Neurospora crassa OR74A: one gene and its partner. The protein of the gene in region 1 purifies or fractionates together with the protein of each later gene. This does not show direct contact. Links are inferred from orthologs where the notes say so. Each region holds a gene or a part of one and is shown in the gene's direction. Other genes may lie near its edges.

Region 1 (10,892 bases):
CATCATGAGGCTGGATATGCCTCGATATCAAAACATACGCCTGATGCTAGTTGCGAACCCGCCTGTCTCGTCTCAGTCTAGCGATCCCGAATCAGGCCTGGCACGTGCGCGCCACATCCTTCCCATGTACAAAAGAGCTCTTCGACGACTGCCCTAGCTGCGGGTACTACATAGCTCTCTTCCTCTGTGATAGAGTTTAGACCACCCGCCGCCGCCGAGTCTCCTCTCGGTGAACCCTCGGTGAACCCTGCGGAATGTATGCATGGATGCACCCCTGCCGCAAGCATCGGACCAGCATTGTTGAGCCACGAGGTTCCCCACTCCCCAGACGTGGACGGGGCCGGCAAGCGGGAACACGGGGAAGATCGTCCCGGACACGTCCCAACGGGTGCCTACCAAACAGTGGCTGAGTGGCTACAGGAGTCGGCGCCGCTGGTTTCGACGGTGGAAGCTTTCTCTCATTGCGACTAGTTCCTGGTATGGGCGGTTAGCGCAAGGACATCAAGCGATTATTTTATTGCTCCGAAAGAACGGCGCCGGTGGACGCGATGAAGTCCATGAAACGAAAATGATCATTCAGCCTGAGCCAGCATGTTCTTACAGACAGGCTGGCCTGTACTGCGCTTTTTCAAATTATACTAAGAGTATGGGATCGTCAACGAGATCCATTGATTGCTATGGAGTGGAGTGGAGAGGAGAAGAGAGAGACTGGCGGAGTCTTGAAGGCTAGAAACGGTGCGGTCTATGAATAGGTCCCTCGCATTTGCGCTTCGAGCATTTGAATAGCATCTACCAGCTGTTCAGGCATGCTCAGAAAAGGGCAGTGGCCTGATTCAAGCGTGACGGCTTTGGCCTCTGGTCCAAGTTGCGCCGCCATTTTCTGCTGGGCGGCCAGTGGTAGCGCATGGTCCTTGGCACAAAAGATGTAAGCACAAGGTATCCCATCCTTCCAAGGCTCGTAGCCACTGGGCGTTGCGAAAAGCGCGGCTGACGTGTGCGTCATCTCGGTCATCCATCTCTGCTGTTCTTCGGCGTTGAGGTCGTTGAACATAACGTCAGCCAACATTTCTTGACGCCCGAAAACCCGGTCGCCCTTTTGATCAGTTAGCAATAGTTGCAGCTGACGTGAGACTCACACACAATGGCGGACCGACTTACCTTGTATTCCATCCACGGGAGAGGTTTTCCACCGAGCATATCGAGCAAAGCCTTGCCATGAGGGATCGCGAAGGTGGCCAAATAGATCATGCCTATGACATTGTCCTGGCCTTTTATCGCGTTGCTGCCAACTAGGCCACCGGAGGAATGACCCAACAACAAGGCTGTCTTGCCCTGGCGGGCAAGCTCGCCGAGCACGTATTGCACCGCTGCAACGTCGTCAGCTAGACGGTGGAGAGGCGTCGCTGTGCTACCAACGGTACGCAGTTCGACATGGATAGCCTCGAAACCTGCGGTGTGTAGTTGTTGCACAAGGTCATTCCAAACGACGGGCTTCTGCCAAGCACCTGGCACGATGACGATGACCGGCTTGGACATGATGCAACTGTGTCGTGAAGGTGTTTTTTTGAGAGGGGTTTCTAGGTAGGCTTGAGGACATATAAAAGAGTGTGGGAAATGCGTTATCGAATAGACGATTTTCCTCTTTTATCTTCAACTAGTTTGGGAGGTCGGTATAGCATAAGATCCCTATACCATCGGCATTCCGAGTATACACTTTTCCGAGATCCCTACTTATACTATCGACATCCTGGTGTATATCAACTTTTCTGAGATCCCTATACGAGCTATTGATACCTTGGGGTACATCACTTTTCCGAGATCCTCATACTATCGACATCCTGGACAAGTATACGTGATATCGCGCTGGTATATAAGCCCCAGAGGCATGTCACTATACCCCGTCGACATGCAGACCAGAATTTCAACCGCCAACCTGCTCCAGTTGCTGGTTCTTTTTCTTCCAACTCGGACTGTTCAGTGCTCTAGCGTAACACGTGCGCCCGCCCCTGAAAACATGACTTCTCAACGAATTGACGTTCACCACCATTTTGTCCCGGAGTTTTATGCACAAGGTGCGTCCAAGGCGGTTTGCATCCGTTCTTTTCTTTTTCCATGGAAGTGCTAACGTTGCCATAGCCTTACGAGCTAACGGTGGTGACCCCTCGGGATGGTCCATCCCGGACTGGAGCCTGGAGAAGGACCTGTCCTTCAATGACGAGCAACGCATATCCTTTGCCTTTCTTACCATCACTGCTCCCGGTGCTGAAATTCTCCCCCTCGTCGAGCAGGCTGGCTTTTGTCGACAAGCTAACCAAGCGGCCGCCGAGATCCGTGCGGCCCAGCCAGCCCGCTACGGCTTTTTCGCTACTATTCCGTCCTTGCTTGACCCCGAGGCTGCCCATACAGAGATCATCCACGCGCTGGATGAGTTGCAGGCCGACGGCATCATCTTGTACACTCGCTACGGATCGGACAACCATTATCTAGGCCACCCGGACTTCCGCTCCACCTGGGACCTGCTCAACAAACGCCGCGCCACCGTCTTCGTTCACCCAACGCACCCCGTGGACACCCACTGGGTCAACCCCTCGCTTCCGCAGCCCATGATTGACTATCCTCACGAAACTACCCGTACCGCCGTCGACCTGATTATCTCGGGCATCATGCGTGAATTCACCGACGTAAAGATCATCCTCTCTCACGCCGGTGGCACCTTGCCCTACCTGGCGCTGCGTCCAGCCGCGGTACTGCCGTACCTTCCACCTTCGATTGCGCCCCCCATTGTTGCAGCAGCAGTAGCAGCACAGGAGGGCCACCACCCGACTGACGTTACCAACCAGTTCATGGAGGACGCCAAGCGGTTCTACTTTGATACAGCATTGTCGACGGGCTCCCATACTCTGTCGCTGTTAAAGGAGTTCGCAAAGCCGGACCACGTGCTGTATGGTAGCGATTTCCCTTATGCGCCGTCGCCCGCTATTGCAGATATGAACGCAAGACTGGACAGGTACGGCGCGGAAAAGGACGAGGCATTTGTCCAGTCCGCTGCGTCGGAGGCTGCGTTAAAGTTGTTTCCTCGCTTAAGCAATGTCCTATCAAAGAATTACTATGCTTAGGTCGCGACTACTAATATAGTTTCACGGTGTTAGAAAATAAAATAAATAAAAAAAGGAATGAAAGGATACACGGCATGTCTCTGTCCGCTATTCTTGTATCTATATCATGAATTAGCCGTGATCTAAACCTCTAGGCCTAGGTCTCAAGGAGAATTCGAGTAGGAGTAGTACCATGTCTCTAGCAGCAGCAGCAGTATGGGTAGGTATCAGCGGGCCTCCCCGTCGTCGTCGTCATAACTTATACTATCCAACTATGTTAAAGCACCAGATTGTAGATAAAGACTAGAACTTCAGTTTGACAACCTGAACACTTTGGTGGCCCTGAGACTTCATTGTGTTCCTTCTCCTTCGTCGGTCATCCGCCTCGGGGGTGCAGTGTCTTCAACCTCATCTGCTCGGCAACTGAGTTGCAGTCATGACAAAGAAATTAATCATGTGATCGGATGAGAAGCGAGTTTCACATTGCTTTTCTCCATCACGACGAGCAGCCAGCGCGTTTGATGATCTCCGAAGTTTGATCTTTTTTTCTTTTTCTTTTCATCTCTTGATGATTTTGTTTTCTCATCTCAAAGTCACGAGTAAAAAAAAAAAAACAAACTGCGAGTAGCCGGCTTGTGACGTTGGTGTTTTTGTTGCACAAACCGTTATCAGTTTCATACGAGTTGTCCAGGCGCTTGTTATTGACTGAATGGAGTGTAAAGAGAAAAGGTTGTGACTTGTAATTGATATTCTCCGTCTTCACTCTAAGCTTAGCTCATGGTTCAAGTAGTTTTCATACGCGCTTCGTTATAAATACATCTGTGGCTAGATAAAACATTCAAGTCATCATCAATACGCACGCTGTTGTTGTTGTTGTCAGCAACAGGTTACTAGACTACCAACTCGCTACCATTTCGAGGCCAATGCTCCAGATACACATCCCTAATGACATGTTAATCATAGATTCACATACCGAGGAGATGATGATTGTCAATGAGCGTGTCATGCATCAAAATACTCTTGGATTTTTACTCCAGTCAATTAATTATATGTCAGTCGACTGTCTCCAGTTGATAAAGGCGACAACTTACACGACTTACAATCACGACGGCGGGGATGCAGCACGATAAGATAACGCCAAACATTCACACGACATGGAAGCCCAAGCAGACCAATCAAAAGAAGGAACTTGTGAAGAGGACGGGACCCTGGAAGCTTGGCGTTTTCTGGCCTGGGGCTGGTCACTATGGTACCTAGTCGCTGTAGGTAAACTTTATCGGCTTGGCGGGGCCTCCAATCGATGGCTCCAACCAATGGCTTTTGCATCGCATCGCCGTCAAAAAAACTAAAATTCCCACTTGGAGATTTCAACAATTCGTGAACTTTGAGCCCCGCAAAGTCACCACCACGACAAGACCTCGACGCGTGCCTCCCTCCCCCAATCCGATTTCGACCCTAATCGACTTCCCCCGATTCCGATAACCGAGTATCCTCTCTTCAACACTACCCGAACTAGACGGAACGAACCTACCACCCATAACCAATCCGTAACCATGGCAGCCGAAGTGCAGCCGCTGGCGACGCTCAAGTTGCCCACGGTCGTCAGCCCCATCACGGCCGAGCAGCGCTACTGGAAGTCCTTCAAGAACCAGAAATCACACACCTCGACGGCAGCATGGCCCATCTCGCACATCAGCTTCCCCGGCTCCAGCAACGGCTCGGCCGCCTCGCACTCCCTCGTCGCCGCCGCCAAGACCAACGACCTCTTCGCCGTCACCTCGGGCCCCCGCGTCGACATCTTCTCCATCCGCAAGCGCGAGCTGCTCAAGACCATCGGCCGCTTCGACTCCCAGGCCCACAGCGGTGAGATCCGCGCCGACGGCCGCGTCCTCGTAGCCGGCGAGGACTCCGGCAAGATGCAGGTCTTCGACGTCGGCACCGGCACCCGCGCCGTCATCCTCAAGACCTGGCACGTCCACAAGCAGCCCGTCTGGGTCACCAAGTGGTCACCTACCGAGCTGACGACGCTCATGTCCTGCTCCGACGACAAGACGGTCCGTCTCTGGGACCTGCCCTCCAACGCGCCCTCGCGCCTGTTCGCCGGCCACCAGGACTACGTCCGCAGCGGCGCCTTCATGCCCGACCGCAACAACCTCCTCGTGTCCGGCTCCTACGACTCGACCGTCCGCGTCTGGGACGCCCGCGCCCCCGCCGGCTCCGTGCTGACCTTCAAGCACGCCGACCCCATCGAGGAAGTCCTCCCCTTGCCCGGCGGCACCACCCTCTTGGCCGCCACCGGCTCCGCCATCTCCGTCCTCGACCTCGTGGCCGCCAAACCTTTACGCCTCATCACCAACCACCAAAAGACCGTCACGTCACTCAGCCTCGCCTCCAACGGCCGCCGCGTTGTCTCCGGCTCTCTCGACGGGCACGTCAAAGTCTTTGAAACCACCAACTGGAACGTCGTCTCCGGCTCCAAGTACCCCTCGCCCATCCTCTCTCTCTCCGTCGTCGCCGCTGGCTCAGGCCACGAAGACCGCCACCTAGCAGTCGGCATGCAATCCGGCGTTTTGTCCTTGCGCACCCGTTTGTCAGGCGCCACGGCGGAGAAAGCCCGCGCCCGCGCCGCCGAAGACGCGCTCATGGTTTCAGGTGCCTCTTCCAAGCTCGCCAAGATCGACTCCGCCAAAGCCAAGCGCAAGCGCAACGCCGCCTCCAACAAATCCATGGCCTTGCTCGGCGAAAACGTCGACGTGATCATCCCCACCGACGCGCCCAACTCCGCCGGAGGCCGCAAGCGCCGCGTCAAGCTCAAGCCGTGGCAGCGCGACTTTCGCGAGGGCCGGTACGCCGCCTGTCTGGATGCCGTGCTCGACCTGTCCTCTCCGGAATACCAGCCCGTGACGGCCCTGTCCGTGTTGGTGGCGCTGCGCCACCGGTCTGCCCTCCGCGAAGCCCTGGAAGGCCGCGACGAAGTTACTGTCCTGCCTTTGTTGAAGTGGGTCATCAAGTACATCTCGGATCCGCGGTACGCGACCGTGTGCGTGGACGTGGCGTTCCAGCTGTTTGATATCTACAGCGAGTACGTGGGCGGCAGCTCCGAGTTGGCGGATCAGTTTGCTGTGATGACGGGTAAGGTGAGCAGGGAGGTGGAGAAGGCGCAGATGGCGATTATCACGAATGGTATGGTGGAGAGTTTGATGATTGGTGGTGCTGAGGCTTAGGAAGCTGAGCGAGCTTCGGACAAGGCCCTTGAGGCTGCAGTTTGACCAGAAGAAGGTCATGATGGTTGGAAGGGAAAGGGAATGGAAAGATACGGATGAGCTGTGTGGATGGATGGAGCATAAGAAAGATGTAAAGAACGGATGGGATGTGTTGTTATACCACAAAGCAGGAAGGACGGGGAAGGGGGAAAAAAATGGAGAGGGTAAAGGATCCCGGATGTGTTGGTTCGGTTTGGTTCGGTTAGGTATCATGGTTTTTTCTTGATATCAAGCCCTGCATGGCGTCGGCGTTCAAACATTCTTTTTTGGCTTTTTGTACTAATCTGGGCTCACAAAAGTATACATACGGTCACATAAAATAAGGGGTTGGGACTAGATACCTCGAGATAGATACCTTAGGAGAATCAGTAAAAGCCATTCCAAATGCCAGGCTTATTGCGTGACCATGGACTCTTCTGGACGACGCCACCACGATCAAGAGCTTTATTGCAGTGTCAACATTCAGCGTATCCAATAGAATTATGACTATAAATGACAACGTAAACATCTCGCTCCAAAGTCCTCGCTGAAGATCGCTTCAACTTTCCACTTAGTCATAGTCCTCCCTCCTGACTAGGAGAATAGAATGAGATACAGAAAGAGTCTCTCCGGTGAGCCACTCACCACCCTCTGGTATCTGGCCAGACATCGAAAAGAACTCCCGGTCTGCCTCTGACGCCTGCTTTTCCAAGTGCCTTCCTAGGGCTGACTGTTGACAGCCCGACCAGAACTGCTGTCCCACTCTGTCATTGAAGACCGCCTCAATGGCGAGCCGTTCCCTTCTCGGGGGGTTTCCAACACGATAATACTATGTCGTCGTCTTTTCTGTTTTTTGCAGCCAAGGCATCAACCCAAGATGTGTTTGAGCATCAGATGCTTGCCGAACCAGCGTTTCGTTCTCATTATCGTATATAGAAAGGTTTCATCCTTCCGTCATTGCTTACATGCCACCAAGCTCGGCCTCCAGGCCACCGTTGTACGCGCCATACTCATGTGGCCTAGGATCTTCAGCAGTCCATTGTTGGCTGTGCACATCAGTAGGCATGGGCACCTGAGCGGGAGCCTGGGGTTGAGCACCGCCCTGTCCTTGACCACCGGGCACGGTGCGCACAAGCTGTCTGAACCTGAAGACTTCATCGAGAATCATCTTGCGCATCTCGCCGACATCATCGACAACCTCAAAGTCGAAGTTGAAGGGGGTAGGGCAGTCGGGCTCGTCGCTGGCATCGTGCCAGATGGCAAGGTAGGGGTGCTTGAGAGCATCCTCAACGCTGATACGGCTGGTAGGGTCGAAGGCGAGCATGCGGTCGAGGAGATCGAGGGCGTCGGGGTTGGCCTGGGGGAAGAGCTGCTGGAAGGACTTCTTGGGCATGGGAGGCAGGTTGCGGACGTATTCCTGAGCTCTAGGAGAGCCGATACGGGAGAGGGTCTCCTCATTCGGTGTGCCGAGGATGTGCAGGATCTGGTTCAGCTGATCGACGTAATCTCTGCCCTTGAAGAATGGGCGGCCACCGAGAAGCTCGGCAAGGATACAGCCAACGGACCATACATCAACTAAGGAATGAGTGTTAGCCTGAAAACGATATCAAGGGGGCAGCTTGAGGAAAAGACATACTGGCTTTGGTATAGTTCTGGAAGGACAACATGATTTCAGGAGCACGATACCATCTCGTGGCAACGTACTCCGTCATGTAACCTGCGTTCTCCTCGGGGTCGACGGAGAAACCACGCGCAAGACCAAAGTCGCAGATCTTGAGCTCGCAGTCGGCATTAACCAGCAGGTTACCGGGCTTGAGATCACGGTGCAGAACGTTTGCCGAGTGGATGTACTTGAGACCGCAAAGAATCTGGTAGATGAAGGACTGGAAGTGGGCGTCTGTAAGTGGCTGACCGGACCTAATGATAGCAGCAAGATCGCACTCCATCAACTCTGCAAAAGAACCCCCAGGTTAGTATGTAGGCCCATCTTCTCGTGAGGCATGAGCCATGACGTACCCTCGTAGAGATAGGTCTCGTTGAACATCTCTGGCCGGGGAATGTCCATATCGTAGAGGCAGGTAATCTAAAGAACCAGAAATCGCCACGGTCAGCTACCATGCATCGATTGTAATATGTGTATGTGAGCAACCTACGTTACGGTGGCCCCTGAAGTGTTGGAGGAGCTTGATCTCGCGCAAGGCGCGCTTGGCTAGGATCTTTTTGCTGAAGACATTGGTGACCTTTTTGATGGCGACTCCCTCGTTCGTCTGGGTGTTTACGGCGGCGCTGTTTAGGAGGAAAGGGAGGTCAGCTTGAATCATGAGAATATGGCATGACACATGTAGATGCGCCGCGGCCCAAAAGCACAAGCGGCTAAGCAGGAACGGGAGCAGGAGCAGGTGGACGTACCAGACAATGCCATAAGCTCCCTGACCGAGCTCCTTGGTGACGGTGTAGCGCTCGTCGACAATAAAGTCCTGATTGAAGACCTTGAAGATCTTGCGACCCACGAGATCAGCCATGGCGAATGTGTCTGTGTGGTGTTTCGGGGACGGTTCGTAGTTGGAGAGAGAGGTGGTTCGGGTGACCTTTAGGCGCAAGTTTGGCAACGGCCTGGAGGTGGTGTCGTGGGGTATGTAAGCTCAAGCGCGATCAATGTCTTGAGAAGTTCGGACGGGGGTATTTGAGAAGTGTCGAGGAAGAGTATACGGGACAAAAGTAAGATGTAGATTGAAAAGGCGGGAGCAAGGCAATAGACAACCGGCTAATGTAGCATTGAAGCCAGGCAGAGATGGAGAGAAAGAAAGAAAGAGGAAAAAAGTGGTGATGATCAAATGAGGTTTGCAGAGGGTAGGGTGGTCCTTGGCACAAGTACACTACTGAAGAGTCGGAAGCCCCTGGGATACTGTAGTCTAGTGCGTGATGGGATATATGTGTGCCACCTACTCGGGCAATTTGCTGACTGGGCCGGAGCTGAGCTTGCGCTTTGGCTTCAACTTGGTGCTATTGATTGCTAGTTTACGGTTGGCGTATTTTAAGAGAAGCAATGGAGACGGGATTCGAGCAGCTTAGGTTGTTTAAACCGACGATGGATATCATTGAAAGTGGAAAACGAGCAGTGACGAGGGGAGAGCTTGAAGAGAAGCTCGTGTTTAGCGAAGTCAAGGACCTGCTTGGCCGTGGACCTCAATGGTGCAGTGGCTACCTAGGTCCCCTGGGCTCGAAGCGGACACTGGAATGGTGAGGAGAGGAAAGAGGGGCGCCGAGGGACCCCGACCATGCGACCGACCACTGCGCTGATCCCGGCACCAGAACGGGACCTGAGCGAGGGGCTGTCTGTGAGGCAACGCGGGGTCCGCTTCCATTCCCAAGAGCCCGCCAATGTCAGCGGGCGCAAAAGTGCAACAAACCAACGTGACTGACGAATGGCGGCTTGTCGGTTCCTGACGAATGATGGCCGTTTTCAGGCTTGTCGCTGGTTGCCTCTTTTCCTGTCCTTCTTTCCACTTTCCCATCCATCATTGCCCAGGGGTACTAAGTACCTACTCATTGCTGAACGTTTAACTCGTCCAAGACTTAGGTAGTTTCCATTGCTTACAATGGCGGCCTCTCTCATCCTTGAATGCAATGAAATCTAGGCCCGTGAGCATCGCATTAACAACTATAAAGCCATAAAAAACCACCCCCCCGTCGAAACAGAACAAGGCCATTACCATAATGCTTGCCGCCTTGAAACAAAACAAAAACACACCGAGAATTCAAACAGAGGGATCGCCTGGCTTGGGGGCGCCTGTTTTGGGCGGCGGTCTCCCCTTGCCCAGTCAACAAATGTTACTGCAAAGTCACTCCACAGCGGAAATCACAAGGGAACGGTACCTGATTCTACCCCACCCGCTGCGTCCCCGCTGTGATTTGCAACCCTCCTCCGGCGGCCATTTTTGGTTTTGGCGCGCGACTACGGCCGCCTCCCCACTGGCCGGCGTCTAAAAGATTCGCAATCATCACTACCATCATCTCGATGAGTTCGAAGGGGGAACGCATTGTTTACGGATCGTTGCTTGCTGCTTAAACGAGGTGGAAAATCATAAAGTTTGATTGTCCATGTACACTATGCCTCGGCAGATCTTGGCTTTAACTGAGGGCGTCAAGGTGACGGTTTGCGGACAACACCGAATTGAAAGACCTGGGAGTGCTTACCTCTGGGCCCGGGCAAGGCAAGCTCCGGGGCTGAGCTTCATCCGTGATCCGGCGGCCGTCCGGACGGCGGGCCCTCTCCGAACCCTCGCCTTGAATTATAATCTCCCAACAGTCTTTTTTTAATGGTGAACTGCCGTCAACCAGCATTGGAGGATTTCCGAAAGGACAGGATCCCAGTTTTCCCCTGACCCAACCGGCCGGCTGATGCCGACAACATGTGGCCGCACTGACTCCCTGGTCGTTCCTGGACTTCCCCAGTGCCGTAGGGCTGATGCAGTTTTAGATGCATAGACTTGGTCGCCAGAATAGGCCGCGATGTCGACGCCTTCACCGAGAGGAGCTTCACAATACCTCGGCA
Region 2 (7,246 bases), on another chromosome or scaffold:
TGATGGAGCAGTGTACCAAGGAGATACAGGACTTCGCTTTCATCCCCATGCGCGGCTCTATTGGCCAAGATGGCGAGATTGGCAAAATCCAGCCAGATGCCCGTCGTCTCCGAGTAGTGCTGGCCATTAGTGGATGGCTGACCGACGAGTCGGACGTCACTAACCCCTGGAGGGCTTTAGGACAGGCGAATGAGGTATACGCTGTGCGATGGGAGGTGGACTCGCTCTCGAAGATGGGTACAGCTTTGGAGACTGTCGTAAGGAGCTCGGCATGGTCCATGGCAAAGAAGGAAATCATTGCTCGGACCAGTGAGCCTCCTTTCAATATCCCAAAGTGTAACCTCTCGAGACGCGCTAACAAACATGGTCCAGTTTTCACCAGCATGACGGAATCCCTTTGGCCACTCGGCTTGCTCAAGATCAACAAAATTATCGATAATCCCTGGAGCGTCGGCATGGTCCGCGCCGACAAGGCCGGAACTCTTCTCGCCGACGCCATCATGAACAAAGCCCACGGAGAGCGTGGAGTGACGCTGATCGGTTACAGTCTCGGCGCCCGTGCGATCTATGTCTGTTTGATGGTCTTGGCGGAGCGCAGAGCTTTCGGTCTTGTCGAGAACGCCGTCATGATGGGTACGCCCGCACCCTCGGAGGCCCGCGTCTGGTGTACCATGAGGAGCGTAGTCTCTGGCCGGCTTGTCAATGTCTTTTCAGAGAACGATTACCTGTTGGGCTTCTTGTATCGGACGAGCAGCATCCAGTTTGGCGTTGCAGGTTTGCAGCGGATCGAGGGTATTGATGGTGTCGAGAATGTTGATGTCTCTGCTAAGGTCAGTGGACATCTCCGATACCAGTACCTCGCCGGTAGCATCCTAAAGCACATCAACTGGGAGGACATCAACCAAGAGCAGGTTAGCCGAGATGAGGCAGCCATGGTAGCCGCAGAAGAAAGGGTGCGAGAGCGTGAGAAGAAGCGAGACGCCGTCGAGCGTGGAATTGTGGTGATAGACAAGGCGAAGGAAGCTGCAAAAAATGATCCGGGTATTATCAGGACCCGGATGAGGAAGAAGAACAAGAGGTGAACGCTGAATTCGACTCGTCGGGAGGAGGGGAGGGGGAATTGGTGAACGTTTAACTTTGGCTTTCTTGGGACCTAAGTTCCTGCTCATGTTTATGTTATGACAACGACAAGGGGGTGGCAACGCAGGGCTCATAAGAAATGAGACAGAATTCGTACGTTATCTAAATAATTGTAGGATTAGCTTCAGTTCAGTTAGCTTTCTATACCAGAGTAATCTCTGGCGGCCGATGTGGATCATCTGGGTAGGGCACACTTAGTATGATACAGCAATCAAATATTGTAGTGTGGCGTTTGCATCGCAACAGCGTCGGGTAGTCCCTCACTCAGTGATTCTTGTCCCTTGAATACCCCTCGGAAGACGTGAACTCCCAGTACAGACAGGCTGGGCATCTGACGCGGTTCCCTGAAAGGCCTGAAAGTCCCGGCCCCGCGTGTTGTATCAACGCATTAGGTTTTCCGTCCTATTCCAAATCTTCCAGGCTCTCCACACGTTCGGCATCAGTTAGCAGATACAGAGCCCTCCTATATAGTCAGACCACGCAGACCACAGCCCTTATGCCTTCTCCAGGGCGCGCGAGACGAATCTCGGCCATTTTCCCCTTGATCATCTACTCCCCCTTCTTCCCACTCCTGACAACAAAGTATCTCCCAACCTTTTGCTCAGCTGATCCCAACACATCCCAATCCTCAGCCTCATTTTTCTTCTTTTCTTTCAGCTCCTCCATCTTTCTCCGCCTCGGCCGCAGGCAATGACCAACAATATCCTCCTCCGCCAGCGCCCCTTCAAGCATCTTCAGATCAATTGTGCTGTCCGCCAGTCCCTCCGGAGACTCATCTCGGATCGAACTCAAGGGCGCCAGCTCCTTGGCTTGATCTGACGGATCCGTGGTATCCACCGACTGGATGGCCCGCACGAAGTGCAGGTGTGAGTGCAGAGCCGAGAGGAGGCGGGTGGTGGAGGCAGGGTCGGAGGCGGAGGGCGGGGGGAGGGCGGAGAGGCGGGCGAGGTGGTGCAGAGTTTGGGGGGTTATTTCGCTTTCTTCGGGTTGGGTTGACGAGGATGGTGTGGATGATGGAGGAAGAAGAGAGCGGACGGACCAGGTTGGCGTGGAGAGGATGACTGATGGGCTGATTTGTGATGGTGGAGGGAGTTTGGAGGAGCCGCCGCGGGCGGTGAATTGAGGGAAGGTTTCGGTTGTAAAAGATCGTGAGCGGGAGAAGTCACGGGTTGATGGCTGGCTGGAGTTGGAGCTGAAGCAGGCTGAGAGGGCCGAGGAGGTTGAAAGAGCTGCGCGGTGGCAGGCGCGGCAGATGGTTTTTGTTGTCATGATAGCCTTGATGGGAAGAAAATGCCTCGGTTTTCAAGGTAGTATAGCTGAAAGGGAGATGTTGACTTGCGTTGCTCTATGAGGTTTGCATATGATGTGGCTTGGAGATTATTTGATGCTTTAATGGGTGGTTTCAGGTGAGGCTCTGGTAAAATGTCGCGATATGAGAGGTTGAGATGAAAGAGGACGAGACATCCTTTGCGAGGTACCTACCTATTGGGCGTCATAGCTGAGCTTTGGTAGGTTGAAGGCTAGACCCCTGCCACCGGGCCACTTGGTCAGGCAAGCTACCAGCCCTCAGGGAACCTGCTCAGGCGTCAAGGGCTTGGCGAGCCGGCATCAGCGATCACAGCCCGCTAAAGTGATCATCCCCCCAATACTCGTGCTCCGCCCCCACTTTTTTGGATCTCGCCAAACTCGCACCAACTAAAGTTGGTGCTCACGACTGCAACGGCCACACCACCACAACGGCCACCATAGTGAGCATAGTTCAGCATCAAGATATCAGAAGCTTGTAACTCATCACAACAACCAATTGAGATAAGTAAAATACTATAAGTATAATTAGGGAAGTACATCGTATATAGGAAGCATTTTTCTGCTTAGAAAAGCCAATACATTAGAAAGATTATGTTTCTGGCCTATAAATCAAGCCCGAAATTGCACCTCTAACCCTAACCTGGCCGTTGCGCTGGTGTGGCCGTTGCAGTCGTGAGCACCAACTTTAGTTGGTGCGAGTTTGGCGAGACCCAAAAAAGTGGGGGCGGAGCACGAGTACCGGCCAACCCCCCAATCCCATGCCCGCATACCTTACCCCGGGAGACAACGAAACACCTCGGGCTCCTGCAACCACCAACACGACACCATCCCGACCAACACCTGAGCTTCTTCGAGCGCGCCCGATTCCGAACAATTGGGACACCCATCAATCGGCTTCATACAGCGGACGCGACTCCAACTTAGAACTTTGCCCATCTATATACCGTCTAATAACTTGCCCTTCATGGCTGTCGATCCGCGCGTTCTCCAACAAGAGGTTTGAAACCTGCCCCTCCTGGCACCTCCTGACACTTTCGCGACACCTTGCTGATGCCGAATGCGAACACCAGGCAGAGAAGACCCTCGCGAGCGCGTCCAAAGGCTGGGGTCTGTTCGGAAACAAGGAAGACAAGTACCAAAATGCGGCGGATCAGTACATACAAGCGGCCAACGCTTTCAGGTTGCAGAAGTCAAGTACGTCATCACAATCATCAACACCCACGATGCGCTTTCGGGCCATATGAACCTCGCGGCAAGTCCTAACGTTCTGCCCACTACCCAGACACCGAGGCCGGCAAGTGTTTCGAGGAAGCTGCCAAGATCTTCACTGAGAAGTTGAAGGAGCCCAACGATGCGGCGAATGCCATGTTGGACGCCTTCAAGGTCTATAGGAAAGATGCCCCGGATAATGCTGTGCGCTGCGTCGAGGTTGCCATCAAGCAGTATACCATGGCGGGGAACTTCCGGAGAGCTGCGTCGCACAAGGAGAACCAGGCTGAGGTCTACGAAAACGAGCTGCAGAATAAGCCAGAGGCTATCAAGGCCTATACAACTGCGGCCGAGTGGTATGAGAACGACGGTGCTGTCGCGTAAGTGATTAATGCCCACGGCTTTTGCGCCATGTTACGAGTCCAACAGGTCGTTCTAACCAGCTGTGTGTAGTCTTGCGAACAAGCTGTGGCTCAAGGTGGCCGACCTCTCTGCCCTCGCGGGCGACTTTTTCGCCGCTATAGAGAAGTTCGAGAAGGTTGCGGAGGCTTCACTCGGCAACAACCTGATGAGGTACTCGGTCAAGGAGTACTTCCTCAAGGCCGGTCTCTGCTCCTTGGCGACCAAGGATATGGTCACTGCTCAGCGTAACATCACCAAGTATGCCGAGAAGGACCCATCATTTACGGGCCAGCGCGAATACCAACTCCTGGTTGACTTGTTGGAAGCAGCCTCAAACAACAACCTCGAGATGTTCCAGGATAAGCTTGCCGCGTACGATAAGATGAGCCGGCTCGATGACTGGAAGGCGGCTGTTCTTCTCCAGATCAAGAACAACTTTGAGGAGGCAGACAACGAGTTTTCATAAACAGGGTGGAGGAACTTGTGATATACAGCCATTTATCACTTTCTGGTTTCCTTCTTTCCTTTTTCTTTTCTTTGTTATCGTACCGGCGTTTTCTGGTTGGGAGGGGGATGAACTGTCATATCATGAATACGGTCATCGACGCTTTGGTGATTTACGGAAGACCCAAACAAACCTGCTGTCTGGGGTAGAGATGGGCTTAAAGCAATAGAAACTTGTTCCTAGTGGGTACGCGTTGTTCGTACGATCCAACATGAATTGTTGTATCTCATAACCTTGATGGCTGCCCAAGCGAAACATAGGTACCTCTATAAGCATGAGATGCCATAGCTAACCCTGGAGTTACAGTTGGGAGCCGCTTCGGACTAGCGCCAGACCCTTATCAATGACAGCGGGTGGGGCGTGCGCGCCGATAAGCGACAACTTTTCGAACTTTTCTGTTCTTCATGACATCGATTTCAGCACTGCGAAGCGGCTTGCATTGTCCCACTCCAGCGCCATTCCATCACATTCACGATGGCTTCTTCTCCGTCTTTGCAGGAGAAACTGGACAAGATTCGGTCTCCGAATCTCCAGAGCCAGAAGCAGGTAAGCCAGAGTCATGATGCATCTCTCCTTTTTCCATCTTTTGTCTTCTGCATCCCTACCCTCTTCCTTCCAGCCTGCCATTGCAGTGGCCTGTCGCAAGGCCGCCTCCATCGTGGACAATGGACCCTGACTTGAGCCACAGACTGCCAGTGTCCTCGAGGCTATCGAGGCCACCTTCAAGGAGCGCAATACACCCGCGACTCCTACCGCCTACTTCGCTGCCCTTCTCAGTCTACTCAACAACGAAAACCTCGCGACCCCCGTCGTCTACCTCCTCGATGTCGTCACTCCCTTCGCTCCAAAGCCTATTCTTCAGGCCAAGTTCACTCAGATCATCACCATCCTCGCGCCAGTACTATCCCTCCCCGATGCCGATGCTCCCCTCATGAGGGCCTCGATCGGCTCTCTCGAGAGCTTGCTCCTTGCTCAAGATGCGACACAGTGGGAGCTCGGTACCGCCCAGATTGGCCCCCGCCGGGCTGTGGCCGGCCTCCTCGCCCTTGCCCTCGACCCGCGTCCCAAAGTCCGCAAGAGAGCCCAGGAAGCGCTCAGGAACATCCTGAAGAACCCTCCGCCGAGCCCGTCTCTCGACCACCCCGCCGCCCCCATGTGCGCCGAGACAGCCATGCAGAGCCTCCGTCTTGTCGCTGACAAGGCCGCCGCCCAGAGGAAGGAAAAGAAGACTACCGACTCTACCCACGATCCCGAGCTTATCCACGCCTTGCAACTCGTCAAGGCTGTCGCCTCTGGAAGCGGTGGCTGGCCCAGCAAGAGCATTGAGTCTTTGTGCGAGCTCCTTCTCAGCATTGCCCGGACGGGCAACGAGCACATGAGCATGGCTGTCTTCGAGATCTTCGAGATGATGTTCGAGGGCATGGCCGCCGACGAGGTTGCCTCCGCCAAGCTTCCTCGGCTGCTCGAGATCATCAGAGAGCTCCGTCCCGCGCCCAACGATACCCAGCTTCTCCCTCCCTGGATCGCCATTCTGTCGAGAGCCTACGATGTTGCCGGTCAGATTTCGCCCGCCGAGACCTTCCAAGAGCTGGTCGATCCTTTCACTCTGGTTGCAGGATACCTCGAGTCCCAGCACAAGAATATTCGCGTTTCGGCGTCCGAGTGCTTGGTCTCCTTCCTGGCCAACTGTGTCCCCAAGGAGGCCATCCTTGAGCCTTCGATTTTTGACGAGAAGGTCATTCAGCAACTAGTCAAGGTTGTCGAGGGCCTTCTCACCGTCCAGTACCAAGCTGCCTGGATGGAGACTTTCAACGTTCTTGGTGCCATGTTCGATGCCTTTCGGTGGCAGGCTAACCCTTACCTCCTTTCCGTCGTCAAGAGCATCGGCGAAATCCGCGGTAACGATTCTTTCGCTGGAAAGCAGGAAGCCGACGAGGTCCTTGGCAAGGCGATTCGTGCAATGGGTCCTGAGGCGGTCTTGAATGTTCTTCCCCTGAACCTCGCGAAGCCCGTCAAGGGTCAGCCTGGCAGAGCTTGGATGCTTCCTCTTCTCCGTGACTACACCTCCAACACCAATCTTGCACACTTCAAGAGCGAATTGGTTCCTCTCAGTGCTATCATGTTCCAGCGTGTGATTGAGCACCAGGGCGAGAAGAACATTCACATCAAGATTTTCGAGACTGTTGTTCAGCAAATTTGGTCGATTCTTCCCGGCTACTGCGACCTTCCACTTGATCTTGTCGAGGCCTTTGACACAGGCTTCGCTGAGATGTTGACCAACCTTTTGTATGAGCAGGTTGACCTGCGCTTGGATATTTGTCGCGCCCTCAGGACCGTTGTTGAGTCCAACCAGGCCATCGCCACTTCCGATGAGGTCGATGACCTCATTCTCTTTGGCAGGGTCAGCAAGGAGCAGGCGCAGAAGAACTTGGAGTACCTCGGAGCCACCTTTGCAGCTGATTTCCTCGCTGTTCTCTTCAACGTCTACAGCACCACTCTCCCCCAGAAGCGCGGCCCTGTCCTCCAGACCATCAACGCCTACCTCAGCATCATCCCTCCCGCGCGTCTTACCGAGACTTTCGACATGGTGTGCGAGAAGCTCGCCGAGGCTCTTCAAGAGGCTGTTGAGAAGAAGCCCCAACAACAGCAGAAGGCCGATCACATGCCTTCTGCCGCGCACAC

The links. Proteins that work in one complex are often made in the same cells at the same time.
Region 2: the proteins of NCU09843 (region 1) and NCU01675 purify together in Saccharomyces cerevisiae (affinity purification with mass spectrometry, with the first as the bait; 3 studies listed by BioGRID). This does not show direct contact. The link is inferred for Neurospora crassa OR74A from reciprocal best matches to the Saccharomyces cerevisiae genes UTP15 and RRP12.

The regions. Positions count from the first base shown.
Region 1 is NC_026505.1:5,919,808-5,930,699, reverse strand, and holds NCU09843 (WD repeat containing protein 57), read left to right. Parts: upstream 1-4,466; 5' UTR 4,467-4,648; coding exon 4,649-6,319; 3' UTR 6,320-6,748; downstream 6,749-10,892. Other genes in the region: NCU09845 (hypothetical protein), read right to left, coding at 743-1,093, 1,159-1,536; NCU09844 (amidohydrolase), read left to right, coding at 1,886-2,072, 2,137-3,116; mak-1 (mitogen-activated protein kinase MKC1), read right to left, coding at 7,299-7,912, 7,974-8,288, 8,354-8,420, 8,491-8,623, 8,747-8,859. UniProt on the Saccharomyces cerevisiae protein: Involved in nucleolar processing of pre-18S ribosomal RNA. Required for optimal pre-ribosomal RNA transcription by RNA polymerase I together with a subset of U3 proteins required for transcription (t-UTPs).
Region 2 is NC_026502.1:2,740,127-2,747,372, reverse strand, and holds the start of NCU01675 (90S preribosome component RRP12), read left to right. Parts: upstream 1-4,942; 5' UTR 4,943-5,038; coding exon 5,039-5,110; intron 5,111-5,252; coding exon 5,253-7,246. Other genes in the region: NCU01672 (DUF726 domain-containing protein), read left to right, coding at 1-1,082; NCU01673 (hypothetical protein), read right to left, coding at 1,690-2,409; NCU01674 (alpha-soluble NSF attachment protein), read left to right, coding at 3,413-3,445, 3,519-3,642, 3,731-4,037, 4,111-4,525. UniProt on the Saccharomyces cerevisiae protein: In association with GSP1, required for nuclear export of both pre-40S and pre-60S ribosomal subunits. Required for the late maturation of the 18S and 5.8S rRNA of the pre-40S ribosomes and for maturation of the 25S and 5.8S rRNA of the pre-60S ribosomes.